Linked DNA regions of Drosophila melanogaster. The protein of the gene in region 4 interacts with the protein of the main gene of each other region in a pairwise test. Each region holds a gene or a part of one and is shown on either strand. Other genes may lie near its edges.

Region 1 (3,525 bases), on a different chromosome or scaffold from region 4:
ACTGCTCCCAAGCTTGGCTGCTGTTGTCCATTAGGGTGGACCTGAACTTTTGTCCGCTTTTGACCGTTCGTTCTGGATGCTGTGCATCGCCTTGGGGGTCACGCGTTAATAATCGCGCTGAATGACTTCATAATGAAAATATTAAAGGTGTTTGTTGCCATTCTTGTTGTTGCTGCTAGCCGCCGGCCAGGATCAGGATAAGTATATACATATACATACAAGGAGCACCCGCAGGACTCGCTCTCACACAAAAGGCGCAAAGTTTATGTTTATGTCATGCTCTCGAATGCCAACGAAGGGGTGAGAGAAGGGACTTTTTCTTGGGTATAATTTAATAATAATGCTCCTTTTTTCATTAAATGTAAGTGCACCATGGGCAGAAGCTGCCTCAAGTGGCAGGTTGAAATGAGCCAAGGGGGAGGTGGGATAATGTTGAACTCAGTGCTGGGCATTCAAGAAGACCCATTCAGAAGGTGTAATATATCAAATGCTTGATTAATCGGCATTGGTGGTATGAATCAGAAATATTCAGAAACACATTTATTGATAAGGTGAGTTCACAACTACCTTTCCTTATTAAAATCTATTTATGCTTGTGTATGGAGAGAGCATAAACTTAAGGTCGTATATTCTGCGTGATCCACGTTTCGTAAGAAAGAACATTTGTGTAGACAGCTGGCCAGAATCGTGAGCCGCAGTTCAGGCCAAAGGACACAATGCCCCCAAGGACCCAAACGCCCTCGTGGAATGCCATCAGTGGTCCGCCGGAGTCCCCATCGCAGCTATCACCCCGACTTCTACCTTCGGCGCACAAGTGGGAGTCACCCAGGACCACTATGCTAGCATACTTGCGACGACACAGGCCAGGCTCCACGTACGTTACCCTCAATTTCATCTTGACGGGACTGCTTTCGCTGGTAAGGGTTCTACCCCATCCTGCCACGGTAAACGCCTGGCCGGATTGCCAGTTTTGCAGACCCACAGTCGAGGGCAAGCAAACAGGTCGAATGCTGGGCGAATAGGCAACCTCTCTCGCCAAACGGATCAGAGCAATGTCGTTCCAAAACAATCGGGTACCGAAGCTTTCATGTATGCGGATCTCCTCGACCGCGATTTGCACAGGTTCCGGTAGGCACCTTCCATTGAGGCAATCCACCACGGCACTGGTGTTATGCTCGCCCAATCTCACAGAGACTCTGAAAGAGCTAAGTGTTAATAATAAAAAAAAAACCATAGCAACAAGTATAAGGCCGTTTACACATCTCCTTTGCGGGCCCTAGTAGCAGCCGACACGCAGTGAGCCGCTGTTACAACATATCGATTATTGATCAGTGATCCCGCGCAGTATGTTCTCAATTGTTGTCCATCATGAGGACGGTACTCTAACAGCACCATCCAGGCGAATTCAGTGAGAACGGTTTCGTTGCCTTTCGTGATCTGGTTGTACGCTATATCGCCCCCACAGATGGACCGATCGGGAAGCAAAGTGGAATGTATCACTTCGTCGTTAGGTCTAGCACGCGTCGTGTTGTAGTCCGTATCCGGAGTGCAGCAGACGAATGGCAGATCGCTCTGGTCAGATACGAGGCAACGGGATTCTCGGATGAACCGCATCTCGGAGTCTGTAGGATTACTCTTCGCCAGCACGGAATTCAGTGGCACACACAAGGGGATGTTCACGCAATATCCAGTCCGCTGGTTGGGATTCCGGCAACTCACGTCTGTAAGTGATCTGGTTTCCTATTTGGGTACTAATTTCCGCTTTGTGCACTTACACTGTCCATGGGCCGTGCGGATAATCAATAAGCACAGCAAAACGGCTGCGATCACCTTCATTGCGCTTGCGACTGAATTCCGTAAGCCTCGACTACGATCTGTTTAATGATCACAATTTGGCAGTCTTTCTTAATTTTAAATAGAATTGATTTTAGCTTCAGTGCGATTATTTCTCTTATCTTGTCAGCAAGTCAAAGATTAGAGATTAAGCGAGGGAAAAAACATAGATTTGTCCGTTGGAAACCATTATAATAAATGGCTCGAATGAATAAAAAAGCTATACAAGATAACATTGCACATTGGCAATTAAAAATTGCTTGAATATAGCTCTGAAATCAATATGTATACATATGTCCCGAAATAAACCACTTGCCATTCTCGACGAATAGTCAATAGTCGGGATATCAGCAATCCGATTGTGTTTGCACTTTCGACAGCCGATCCCAAGAAACAATTAATGCCGGCAAAGGACGAGGGTAAAGGATACAGGACCACAGACTCGGTGGACCACAAGTAATATTTTAAATGTAGTTTCGGGCTAATTGTCATGCCATCGACGGCGTCTTATCGGACGGTAGCAAAACAATTTGGACAAATTTATGCAACACAAACGGACTGAGAGCCCCTTTGGGGCAAAGGGGCACGAAGGACACACAGGACATGCAGGATGCCCAGATGGACAGATAAGTCAAAAATGCTGCCATTAAAATGCTGGCATTTGCAAGTCTATCTGGTATCGACAGGGTCTCGCAAAAGTTACGAAAGGAGGTGAGCGGAAATCTAGCCGTGTTGGTCATTAATGAACATGGGCCAGTGTCCCCGTACAGTGGAGTCCATTAAAAAGGACTAAATGGCAATTAAGCACTGGAGTCAAACGGCAGAATCGGAGTCGCAATCAGAGGCTGAGGCAATTAAGCCTCCCCTTTCGCTGCAAGGACACTGGGCAATTAAGCCGGACCAAAGTTGGCCAATCCCTTGGAGTCGACCTTATCCTTTTCACCTATCTCTCTGGCCGAGGAAAACTTAAATGAGTTTTCCGAGAGCAGAGAGAGAGACAGTGTGTCCCGCTGCGAGCATTCAAGTGGCTGCAACTTTGATTGGCTGGCCGCTTGAGTGGGCAGCAGATTTATCTCCTATTTCCGAGCCCCCCGATTGCACATAAATCCCTATGACGATACCTACTGCCCGGCCAGGGATCTAGCCATAAAAATATTTCGAATACCCAACGGCACATGTGTGAGTTGAATTTTAGAGGGCGACACATCTTCGATATGCTCGTTTAAAATAATTTATTGCACTGGTTCTGACACCCATTGAACGTCTGCCACCGGTTCCTAAGTAAAGTGTCCCACCAAAACGAACTCACAAGATAAATTGCGCAAATAGAAAAATGTTCTATTTAAAATTATGCACAAATATTTTGGATTTCTTCTCGCTGTCCTCCATCGATGGGGTGCCAATTAAAATTGATTGGAAATTCCGGGACGGCATTCCTGGCATTTCTACGGCACGTGGGCGTTCCACAGCGCCAAGTAGCAGCTGCCCGAATCCTGTAACGTATCCTTTCGCTCGGGATTTGCATGCAGAGCCTTGCTTTTGAACTCGGATATGGGAAATATCTGTGTGTCCTGACCATTCCGCATGAGTACCCACTCCGGAACGCCAATAAAAAGAAGTCTCAATTAACACTCTTGTACTCTTGTACGAAATGCAGCCAGATGGCTAAATGCATGCATTTAAGTCGCCACC
Region 2 (4,657 bases), on a different chromosome or scaffold from region 4:
CGTATTTATCAGGTTGTTTCTGTCCACTAATTTAAATTTTGCTTTAGCCCCACAATGTTGATGTTGATTTAATTATTTTGTGTTCGGATTAAATGTGTCGAAAATATATTACTGCAAATGCGTTCGTTGCTTTAAAATGGAATTTATTTGTAATTTATTGTTGTACGACAAGGAAATTATTTAGAAAATATTATTAAACATTTTTAAAATACTTAAAAACAAAATCGAACAACTTTAGCACCTAAGTCCCATCTAAATTCGCACTAATGGAAATATGTTTAATCACGAATTCGGTATGACAGCATGGCCCACTAAATAATTTAATTTATACAAATAAATTCATCCAACCGACCCAGTTTAAAGCGACAAATATGTATAAATTAATTGTTTTTTCGGGAACGAAGAGTTTGTATAAAATTGCAAAAAAAAAAAGGCACTCAAAGAGCTGTAAAATATGCAAGCCAGCGTGTTTGAATAATAATTTAAAAGCTGTTATTTTTAGTGTTTTTAACACCTTTACTGGCATAACTTTTCTGTCTAATCTCCAACGAGCAATAATTGAATTTCAAATGACACTTACTTCAATCACGGGCCGATAAGAGTCCATAAATGTAATCATTTTCAGGTACTCTCCGTTTAATGGTCTCTTTACGTTTATCTACCTCGAATTCCTCTCTTCGCTTGCGTTATCAGTTTTTAAGTGTTAATTTGCTCGGGAATATACACAGCCAGTAAAAAAATTGCTGAGAGACACGCACTTTTTTTATGTAGAACAATAAACCTTTGCCCAAATGGCATATTCGCAATTGAAGTGAACGAAGACTAGCTAGCTACTGAGAAAATCGCGCATACGCCGTGTGGAGCCAAACAAATCGAAATGGAGCAGCGAATGCACTGCGATTTCAGTCACATGCGGCAAGCGTTATCTCACACACACACACACACACACACACACACACACTAAGTACTAAGAGGGCACTCTGCCTATGGTTTTGTGTTTACTATATGCTCTCTACATGATTCTCTTACCAAAAAACAGCTGAGTGCCGAGCGGCAGTCAACAATAAAGCGACGTCAATGCGTCTGAGACTGGCTCTCCAATGTAGCTAACTGGCCCACAGGGAATGCAAGCAAATCGGCTGATTAAGGCACATTTTTTTTTATTATGATCACTTGGCGGGGGCTGCGCAGTTTGGCAGCTGGGTGGCAGTGGCTCTGGCTCCAACAAGCAGCCTCAAACAACCCAGACCCGATAGCCCATAGCCGCCCATAGCCAACTGGCAACTAGTAAAATTCGCCGCCAGCGCCTTTGCACTTTTCAGTGTCAAAAGAGGCAACACAAAAATGCGGCAAAAGTCCCAGTCGAAAATAAAATCGAGGTGTAATAATCATTGTGTAAGAGGCCAAAAGGAGAAGAAAACAACTCGAAGATTTGAATAAGTTTCGATTTCTGGGTTGCCTGCTTATTTTTTTTTTTCTTTTTTTTTTTTTTTTGTGAAATGGTGCAATGCCAGTGATCATTAGCCAGCGGTAGTAGCGGCGGCGATTGGTTAACCCACTGGGGTTTTTTCTCTCGAATTTGCAGAGCTGCTGAATGAATATGAAAATCACTGGATTTCTACACAGCAGCAGCATCTGCAATGATGGGCCGAAAGCATAAGTAAGGTGGACGGGACAAATGAGTCGGCCTGGCCCTGACTGGCTATCATTTCACCTGCGCTCCGATCGCCAGTTATCCCATATCCCCGGCCGAGATTCAAGGTCAGCGATGCACTGCATTTCCGTGTGAAATGTTGTCATGCCAGTGAGCTGGTGAGCTGGTGAGCTGGTGAGCTGGTGAGCTGGTGGGCTAGTGAGCTGGTCAAAGCCAAAAGCCAGCCTTCACTTCACTTGACCGCCAGCCAGTGATGTTGCTGGTGTAAGTGCTGCTGCTGCAACTGCGGACATAACACAGCGACAGCTTCGAAATAAGTGCAGCACTTGCAGTTTCTGTATGCACTTTTGGCGGAGCTCGAAAGCGAATGGCTCTAGCAAAACAGAACAGAGCAAAACGCTCATGTTTTGTGGCAGAAAGCGGGGGAAAAGTGGGCGAAAAGCGTGGAAAGGTCTGCGCGGAGTCGGCAAAAATGCATTTGGGAAAAAACAGTGGAAAACCTTGCTAGCGAATGTGTACTTGAAAACGAAAACCAGTTGCTGGCGTGCGGTTTTTTTCCATTTCCAAAGAAAACGAATAAGAACCAGGAATGGCTGGTGCTCGAGAGGTTTTCTCGATTAATAATTTGCTCAATTAATTTTAACGGCTGCATTGCGGATATTCATTATAGGAGCTTTATTTATTTTTTTTTTTATTATTAATTTCTTGCTTAATAGCAGCAGCAGCACACACGAGTCGTGTGCAAAGGGTCATTTGTGGGTTGTGGGATTTAACGGAAAGCCCAAGTCAACGTACGATCATGTATATTTATTTATTCAGGCTTGCATGTTGGGGGTCGGCATCGAAATTACTGGTTGCAAAGGCATTTTAATAAAGGAGGTTTCAGTGGCATCAATTTTCCGTTGAGTCACACTGGGTGTTCGGTCGGGAACCCCCGCTACTTACCATTGTGCTAAAATTCGCTTCAACAGGTACTAAATGCGCGTTTATATTCCGTTTGTTACAAGGAAGCGTACTGTATTTATTTATTTTTTCTTTTTTTTTTTTTTGACTAATTTACAGAGATTCTCTCGACTTTGGTATACGAATTATCACTTTTTAGCGCACTATCCTTGTTCGTTTCGTTTCGTTTTTTTTTTTCGTTTTTCTTGCTTGTAGGTTTTTAGTTATTGTTTTACACACGCACACACTGTTTGACCATCGTTATACGGTTTTATGGTTTCTACATCACTGTTGCGGGGAACTGCTGCTGATGCTACTGCTGATGCGACCGATCTGCCGCTGCTGCTGCTCCGCTGGACTTTACTGGACAACAACTGGACAGCGACTGGGCGAGCGTGCGCTTTTTACATTCAAATCAAAAACACTGAAATAAGTTTGATTTCACGCTGCCGCTTTACTTTTATACCGCCTCGCAGTCGTAGGAGCGGACTTGGCGCAGACGTCGACGCAGATCGTCGGCGCCGCCGACCGCTCATTTTCGGCGAGCGTGGCGATGGCGCTGGCGTTGAGGTGAGCCGAAGTCGAAAGCTTCGGTCGCTAGCCACAGGTTCTGAGCAACAGGTTGTCGATGTGTGCTCTCGCTCTGACAGCCGAAGCGATCGGGTCGGGCGTCAGGATGCCAGAGCGAGAGCGAGATCGGCCAGCGGCCCTTTGGAATCGAATTCTTGGTATCCACCAGTGGGGGTATCACCCGCCTTTGCACCCACACCCAAGTGCGGCGCTAATTGCCGCCAATCCAAATATCGGAGCGGTACTTTTGCCGCGTCTTGGCAGCGCGCATGATTGCACAGTTCAAAGTTCGGCAAGAATGTCCGTTAATTAACCCCTGCCCAGGCCCGGCCCTTCATATCGGAAAAGTGTGCAAAAATTAACGTAGCCACAAATCAAATCAAATCAAATCAAATCACGGCGAGGGAGAGCGGCGGAAAGGTTGCCAGCAACAAAGCCCAATCTTTGGATACGTATGCGGTAAAAAGCAGAAGAAGATGGGGCTGACCAAACCAGTTTGCCTCTTGGGCTCTTAAATATTTATAATGACCAATACTTGGCTTTCCTCCGTTTGCCTTCGTGATGGCCAATAAATGGCCAAAATGCGCCGTGAACTTCTGAAACATACAAATTCCCGAATGGGAAAAGCGGCTACCGAGACCTGGATGTTGCAGGCAACCTGGCGGATACTTAATATTTCGGAGGACCCGACGCTTACTTGTTATTTGTGCAAGCTTGAAACGTTACGTAGTCGATTTTTGTGAGCTAAGCAATTAGATCGAACTTTGACAGCGGCTTGGTTGACGATTTACTTACCCTCAATTAACGACCCTTCAACTACCTTTATTCTAATTTACCTGCTAAAAATCTCACCATTACCCTGCACTTTTGATGCGTTTTTCGACAAAAAACCCAAGCAATGCAACAAAGCAAACATTTGCATTTTTCGTCTCAAAGTCCGCTGCATGGCCGCCGAGCACAAGATCTTTTTGCGGAATTCTAACCGAATAACACGTAACTGACCATGTAATCTAGCCGCGCCAAATTTACATGTGCAAACAGTCGGCGGGGGAGACGATGAATATGTATAGACATGTCGCCCTAAGCTGATCCCATCTCACAGATCCGAAACACGCGTCTGCCATATTGGGGGAAGTATGAATACGATCGATTCAAGGGCTTTCTAGTGGCTGTATGACTAGAGGAAAAGCTCACGATGAATTGACCATGCTAGATCAGAATGATCCTCCTTATATGGACAGAGATGGCAGGTAATATTTCCGCTTGCTCTGAAATTTTCCATTTGATCATCAGAATTTAGACTGCGACTGTACTCACCAGACATGGATATGTTTTTCCCAGTTAGAATGCACTTCACTAGTCCTTTAACTAATGCCGCGCACGACAATATATTGTAACACAAGTTTTAGGTGCCGGCAAGCCACGCCTAGTTGTAAAATTTATGTGAACAAAAAATCAAAATAAATAAGCACTTTATACCCAGAGATTCAA
Region 3 (2,764 bases), about 12 Mb from region 4:
CATTCCTAATACTACTAATACACCTGAATGTTAAAATTTATGGTAAGTTGAAAGGCTGGAACCATGTGCTTCAACTTGATGGCAATCATGTCCGATTTTTCGTGACCAGCTCTCAATATGTCAATATGTGATGAGTTATCGTTACTTTTTACATAATTTTGATACTTGAAAATATTTAATATATTATATTTAGTTAAGCTATAATATTACTGGCATATCAAGTTAACTAATCATGCCAATTAATGAAAGTAGGTATGATCATTAATCTCACAGTGGGCTCCTTGTATTAGCACATCATTGAACCCACTTGATTCATTTACGACTGAGATTGGCCAATATTTATACGCATGTAAGGAAGATTCCGTTCGCTTTTCACACTCTCTACCCAGAAACGATCCGAAACGGGTTTCTTATTCAGATCTAGGCAAACAAAAACCCGACCCGCTGCCAGTCATTAGCTCCTTTTTGGACACACATGGAGATCTCATCCCCGACGCTTCGATGATATAAGAAAAGCCGACGTGTATGAAAATAACATTTATTTTAGTTACGATTACGTATACTTTACTCGTATGTATGTGCTTTTGTGTGTGTTTGTGTGTTTGTGCTTATTGGGTATTGTCTAAACAAAACGGTTTGAAAATCGAATGTAGTGGGGGAGGCAAGGTTCCCAATTGGCTGGACTAGAATCTGAACGAAGCTTATTGCGAATTTCTCCTAACCCAGGAGCTTCTTCAACTTGAGCAGCTTCTTCAGCTTGAAGATGGCCTGCGGATCCTGGGGACGCTGGACATCGTCGAAGGCAGGCTGGTAGATATTATCGCCGATCAGGGACTCATCCACGGGCACGGCAGAAATGAGGGCGATGGCCATAAGGCACACGAAAATGGTCTGAAAAATGTGAATTACAATAGATTTTTAGTACAAATTGAAAATTTAATATACTTCAACAAACAACTTCATATGTTGCACTTAATTGGAAATCATTTAATCCAATTATTAATCCAAATGTTATATCCAAATACTCACCAGAGCTAGGTACTTCATGATTGCTGCTGCTGGGGAGATGATTACGCTGATTAATCCAAATATCGACTGCACATGGCTCCATCTGGCATCAGGCCTTTTTATAGCCAAACTTTTGGGTGACCATCGATGATAATGTCATGTGTAAACTGCAGTTTGCAATGAAGAAGAGGACAAATGAACGATACATAAACAAAAGAGTCTCGCATAAATAAGACGGTAAGCGAAAAAGAAGTATAAACAGAAAAACCTGGCCAAAAGCAGACGATTCAAGGGGCGTGGCATGTTGAGGCAGGTGCTTTGTTTTTTTTTTTTTTCGGGCCAATTTTTTCGGCAGCGGGACCGAGCAGCAAAACCAGGCTGCCCTGTTTACTTGGTGGTGGCATCTTTTGTTTGCTTCGCTAAGCCACTGAAGAAGTTGATCGTTGATTAAATAATAATCAGACTGGGTAAATGAAGACATCGACAAATGAAGGTCACCTCAAATGCGGTCAGCGGAGTAATATTTAAACAAAACCCGGAAGAAGGCGGAAATTGTAATGCCAGGCAGTTTAATTGCTAATTCAGTGTATCTAGAGCCCCTCGATCACCCAATTCAAATGGTAAGTTAATCTGAAGTTCAAGATCCAATGATCGAATGATCAGTGGTCAAGCCAATTAAAATATAAATTATCACTTGAGCAGAGGATCCATAAATATTTGACACTTTGAACAGCTGTCAGGCCTGTAGAGTGGAATACTAAATCAATAAAAGTTAAGCTAAACGACGGAACCATTTTGGGCTGGGCGATGGTATAAAAACCAACATATGATTGGTACGGAGGCCAAGTGTTTTTTTTGCCCAGTCATCGTGCAAGTATTGATGATGCTGACGACGATCTTGCAGCTGAAAACCGGAAACATTCGCCCTGCTCTAAATATGTAAATAACGAACTTTCGAGAATGCCGCCACAATGTCAACGCAGCTCAAAAAAACATTCCACAGTTTGTACTCCACAAAAACAAATACGTGTCGAATGGATATCACAAACAAAGTTTACCATGACAACAAATTAAAAGATTGGATTGAATGGATATCTTTGAGTTAGTCTTTGTCGTCGGCTTGTCTCGCGCGGTTTAAATTCATGTTTGATATATTTCCCATGCCCCTGGGTTTTTTAATTAACATTTATGGGCGTGGCTGTAACATGTGCGATATGTCTCAATCCCGGCGAATTTTTAGTGGGAGATAATAAATTTTATTACGCACCCGAAACTCGGTGATAGATGGTACTATTTTGCAGAAAATGTGTAAAAATTGTTTTTTTGGGTGAAAAAATTTAGCAAAAAAGGGAGAGGCTCCATGTATAATATATTTGAAAAAATTTAAGTTACAAAAATTACATTATTCGTAATCGTTTGATACTTCCGAACTATCCTCTTTCGACTGAGTAACCTCTGTACTTGCTTCTTCGGTTTTCTCTACTGGCTTCTCAGTCGCTTTATTTTCCTCGCTATTTTTAAACAGCGATGGTTCCGTGTATCCAGGTGGTGTCTTAATGGAAAACTTGATTCTGCATGAAATCAGCTTCATAACTTCCTCGTAGACTTGTATCAGCTCAAAAAGTACCATGTATCTGCCATCGGGAATGCGGAAAGGAACCAGTTTGGAATCAATAACGCCATTCTCAACAAAATAGAAGCCTGGAACCAAAGGACATGAGACAACAAAAGTCGAGGGCAAAAGGCTTTCGCCCGG
Region 4 (4,336 bases):
GCGAGGGATAAAAGTGTAAAGTTGACAACCCAGGCACATTACTCACCCGAGGTGCCAGCCATCCAGCCATCCGGGCATCCGGGAGTATGGGCGGCATTAAAATAACCAGCCAACCGATTCAACGTCAAGCCAGAGCCCAGAAATGAGCATGGCCAAGAGAAATGGTAATGTGACTGGTCGAGAGGGCCCAGGTCCTGCTCGTCCTGGCGCCTGCTTTAGGGGTCTCCGTTTGCGACTCCTTCATTTTGCACTACTTTGGAGCATTTTCTCAATGTCTCTCACTCGACAAAATGTCGACAGCGTCGGCGGAAACCATTAATTTTGTCACTTTCGGAAGTGCAAAGTGGCGAGCATGTGGGAGCATGTCGCTGGCCGAGCCAATGGCCAGGTCACCAACTGGCTGGTCAATAGTGAGAATCATGAAAGGGCAATTAAAGTCGGGCACCTGTGTGCACATATCCGCGAATATAGCTTACCGCCGACTGCCAAACAAGTTAATTGCACAGACCGCAGGCCACACGACACTTGATAACCGCGAAACCACAACAGTCGTAAGTTGGCTTAATAATTACAAATGTATAATTTCATAGTAACGAATGATGAGGATTGTCCAGTCACCAAACGCTAGTCGAGTCACAAAGGATCATGCTTAGAAGTAAGGAGTGATTAGGGGTGGGATTAAAAGTCATAGCCACTAGTTCCACTGTTCAGTCTTCGATGACGCACATGATGTTGATACCACTTTTGCCAAGATTTACGCACTCCAGAGCAGAGTCCTGGTGCTGTCGCATATAAATTAGGAACTGTATGATAACGTAGAACAGGTTATTCCTATCGTAGACGCAGTTGTGTAGTTCTTTGTCGCTGATAAAGTTAAATTTAGGGTTAAGTGGGTTGCCGGTACTTAAAATGGCGCAGTGGGCCTTGTTGTGAACTGCGTTCACCACGTCCTTGGTCGAGCTCTTCTCGTCGCGAATTAACACGTAGCGGGAGTGAAAGGGTCGTCCGCCGCCCTGCGGCAACGGCATCAACTGGCTATCCAAGTACACGCAAAATAAATGGAATATTATCTGCAGAATGAGGTTACAATTAATCAAGAGTGCTCAGTTGCGGAATTTCGTATACTCACAGCTGCATCGGTGGGCAAATGCTCGTCCCGCTGCTGACCGTTGTGTGTTTTGCCCGAGTACCAGCGGTAGTCAGCTATGCAAGAGCCCTGCGCAAGCTCCTTGATGCGCTGCACCAGGTATTCCTGGTTGCTGAAGGTGTCCAGGAAAGGTAAGAGCATGGGCAACATGGGCGCACACGTCTGCACGAACTGCTGGTTCTCGGCTGTTTTGCGTAATCTCTCTACACTCACAGATCCAATTTTAATGTCAATCAGAGCTCGCTGGCGGAAAACATCGTCCACATAATTGATCTCTTTGACCAAACGCTGAAGTATGGTCGTAGAAATCCACTAGAAAATGGTAAGACATTAGTACGTTGCAGTGGAATATTGAACGGGATGCTTACAAATCTTAGGTTGGCCACATATTGCGACAGTTTGTCCGTGGATATGCGCTTGATGACCTCCGAATTGCTGTCCCTAAACTGAATACCGCCAAACTCCTCAATCGAGGTGGGAGCATTTTCCGTAGAAACAGCCGGAGGTGGCGATAGTTGATAGATGGTGGTCTTGAGCATATAGGCCGCATTGTTGCAGTAGTTCCAGAAGGAGTTGGCCGATCCCATGCTCTGCACATTGGGTGTATCCGAGCTGTCCATCATGCTGCGCTCCCGATCCGCCTGCTTCATTAGACTGGTCAACTTTCGTGTATCGGTCATGAAGTCATCGCGTCGCACCTCCGCATACGGGGACATATAGGTAGACTCGTTGCTCAGATTGCTGGCATTCAGCGAGTTGTTTCGAACCATCGAGGAGTTGTAAGAGGTGTTTTGTTTCGTCTGCTGCGGCGTCCTTGTGGGACTGGGGCTGCGGCGCATGGATTGCGAGCCCCAGCAGGAGTCCTCGAAGGAGGAGTGCCAGTTGATGATGGGTATGTCGTCCTCTATATCGCTATCCGGTTCGTAGCTGCGTGGTTTCATCACGGCTCGGGAGCAAACTGTACGAAAAGAGTTCTCTATAGGAATAAAAGTGGTTAAGTGGATGCGTTAGAACGGGTTCCTTTGGATTCCTCACCTGCCTTGCCATCAAGCAGCCACTTTTGGATATCGCTACCCGTAACTTGGTCACCACCAAACCATAACCACAAATACTTGCCGAAGCAGGCGAGTGCACTTAGGCCAATCAGGGTCGTAATGGTGCACTCCGCCAGGAACCAGTAGGTCCTGTAGGCGGACCGACATGCCTGCCAGAGGTCGAAGAGGAGTAGCGACAGCAGCACCACATTTATGGAGCACCACTTGAGGTAATGCCGCGCTTGGGCGCCCTGCAATCGCAAGTCCAGGCTGCGCTGCACCACTGGGTTTTTACTCAGCGGCGAGCTGAGGAGCATTCATGGGTTAATTTTCTGAATTCTACACTAGTTTCTGTCACTTACCAATTAGTCCGTGTAAAATTCATTGCCTACTATGTGATAATTATTAGAAAATCACCTGAATAGGTCGAAAATGCCGGGAAAACTTGTTTGTAAGTGATAGCACAGACAAAAAGTTAGAATACCACAAGGTCAAAAAATAAATACCGTTTGGAATGAAACGCGTTATGTACTTTGTTGGCTCAAGATACCTTAGCGGAGACACTTTCCCTAGCGAAGACACACACCTATCGGCGATGTTTTCTTTGGTATGGATCAATATCCATGATATCATATTTTTTAATAGAACTAAAATTATTTTTATGATTTTTAAAATGATTTTTTGTTTATCCGAATGTTTAAAGCTATTCACCCACTCTAAACGTATTACTTATCAGCAACTTTTAATTTATCATTTAAATGCAGTGTTTTATAATATTTTTTAGAGTAGTTATAAAATTAGCTGTTTTTTAAACAAATTTTTTCTCTATCTTCAATATATTATGACATAAGCCGTACAAAACCGAAGACTCAACAATTTTGCAACATTTATGAGGACGCTAAAAAATTCCTTAATTTAATTTAATTTAGTTTGTTTTTAATGATATAAAATAACTTTTAATTTATTTCATTCCCTAAGTAAATTGTATATAATTGTGTACACATGCAACTAAATGTGTATTCTCAATAACTTAAAAATATTTTAAAATAAATATTTATAAAATATAACTTTTTTGTTTAAAAATTATACATTCCTTAGCGCACTGGGATGACTGGGGCTCGTCCGGGAATTGAACCCGGGACCTCTCGCACCCGAAGCGAGAATCATACCTCTAGACCAACGAGCCGGTTTGAACCTCAGTCGACTAATTACGCAATCTAATGTAAAAAAAAAACTTACATATAGCCATTACAAAAGGTTCCACAAGTCACTTAAAATTACGTTATCTTATTCTCTCCATATAGACAACTAATTATTAGGCTCTCGTAGCATTAGACCCTTAATTTAAATTATTTAAATTATTAAAATTATTTAAATGCCATCACTGACTTTAAATAAAAAACACGCTTGTAACTATATGATATATTAAAAATAATATCTTATATATTGTTTCCTGATTTAATACATTTTCGAGAGGACGGTACTTAGATAGAGCTATTCAGTTTTGCATCAGTATTCCCTGATCGTAAAGCCCGCTTCACTGCCCTTCTTCTCCTTCTTCGTTTGCCAACGACTGTAGGTCCGACACCCACTCCCACACCGATCCCCGGAACAGGAGCTAGTTGCAGCAGGAGAGGATTACTGACCAGGGCGGCGGCGATGCCCAGAACGGTGGCACTGGCCAGCGGAATCAGGAAGCTTTTGGCCAGCAAGGCCTTTGGTGAGATCTCTGGCGATCCCTTGTGGGAGACTATCTCGTGGGAGTCGATGGGGTAGGAGCTGTAGGAGTAATCCACTGCTGGCCCCGGGTAGTGGCCATGTTCGGGTCGAGGTCGATAAACGTGGTATGGCACCCCTGCCTCTCCGCTGGAGGAGTAGGTGTGCCCAGGAGCAGGTCCTGGCTCATAGCCATGTCCGTTGGATGGTCCGTAGTCATACTGATAAGGTTGACTGTCATAGGCGTAACTTTTGCCAGCACTTCCACTGCTGCCATAATGCCCTTAAATAGTATTAAATATATTTTTAATGAAATCTACAATAAACAACAGTCATCAATTTCAAATATTAATCATTTTAAGTTTGAGTTTATCTTTGTAGAATATATAGATTGAGTAATCTTTGAACTCACCCACGCTTATTCGATCGTGTATATTCC

The links.
Region 1: the proteins of CG6479 (region 4) and CG11313 interact in a two-hybrid assay, tested with the Drosophila melanogaster proteins (one large-scale study listed by BioGRID).
Region 2: the proteins of CG6479 (region 4) and Elovl7 interact in a two-hybrid assay, tested with the Drosophila melanogaster proteins (one large-scale study listed by BioGRID).
Region 3: the proteins of CG6479 (region 4) and CG15212 interact in a two-hybrid assay, tested with the Drosophila melanogaster proteins (one large-scale study listed by BioGRID).

What each region holds. Positions count from the first base shown.
Region 1 is NT_033777.3:30,729,311-30,732,835, forward strand, and holds CG11313 (uncharacterized protein), read right to left. Parts: upstream 1,856-3,525; 5' UTR 1,837-1,855; coding exon 1,776-1,836; intron 1,722-1,775; coding exon 1,259-1,721; intron 1,206-1,258; coding exon 617-1,205; 3' UTR 527-616; downstream 1-526.
Region 2 is NT_033777.3:7,992,821-7,997,477, forward strand, and holds the start of Elovl7 (ELOVL fatty acid elongase 7), read right to left. Parts: upstream 3,033-4,657; 5' UTR 2,603-3,032; coding exon 2,600-2,602; intron 1-2,599. UniProt on the Drosophila melanogaster protein: Catalyzes the first and rate-limiting reaction of the four reactions that constitute the long-chain fatty acids elongation cycle.
Region 3 is NT_037436.4:5,129,887-5,132,650, reverse strand, and holds CG15212 (uncharacterized protein), read right to left. Parts: upstream 1,107-2,764; 5' UTR 1,048-1,106; coding exon 1,030-1,047; intron 892-1,029; coding exon 718-891; 3' UTR 524-717; downstream 1-523. Other genes in the region: CG4597 (uncharacterized protein), read right to left, coding at 2,411-2,764.
Region 4 is NT_037436.4:17,336,614-17,340,949, forward strand, and holds CG6479 (uncharacterized protein), read right to left. Parts: upstream 2,650-4,336; 5' UTR 2,567-2,649; coding exon 2,544-2,566; intron 2,524-2,543; exon of another isoform or gene 2,499-2,523; coding exon of another isoform or gene 2,488-2,498; coding exon 2,183-2,487; intron 2,124-2,182; coding exon 1,516-2,123; intron 1,460-1,515; coding exon 1,130-1,459; intron 1,071-1,129; coding exon 708-1,070; 3' UTR 559-707; downstream 1-558. Other genes in the region: CG13727 (uncharacterized protein), read right to left, coding at 3,666-4,180, 4,310-4,336.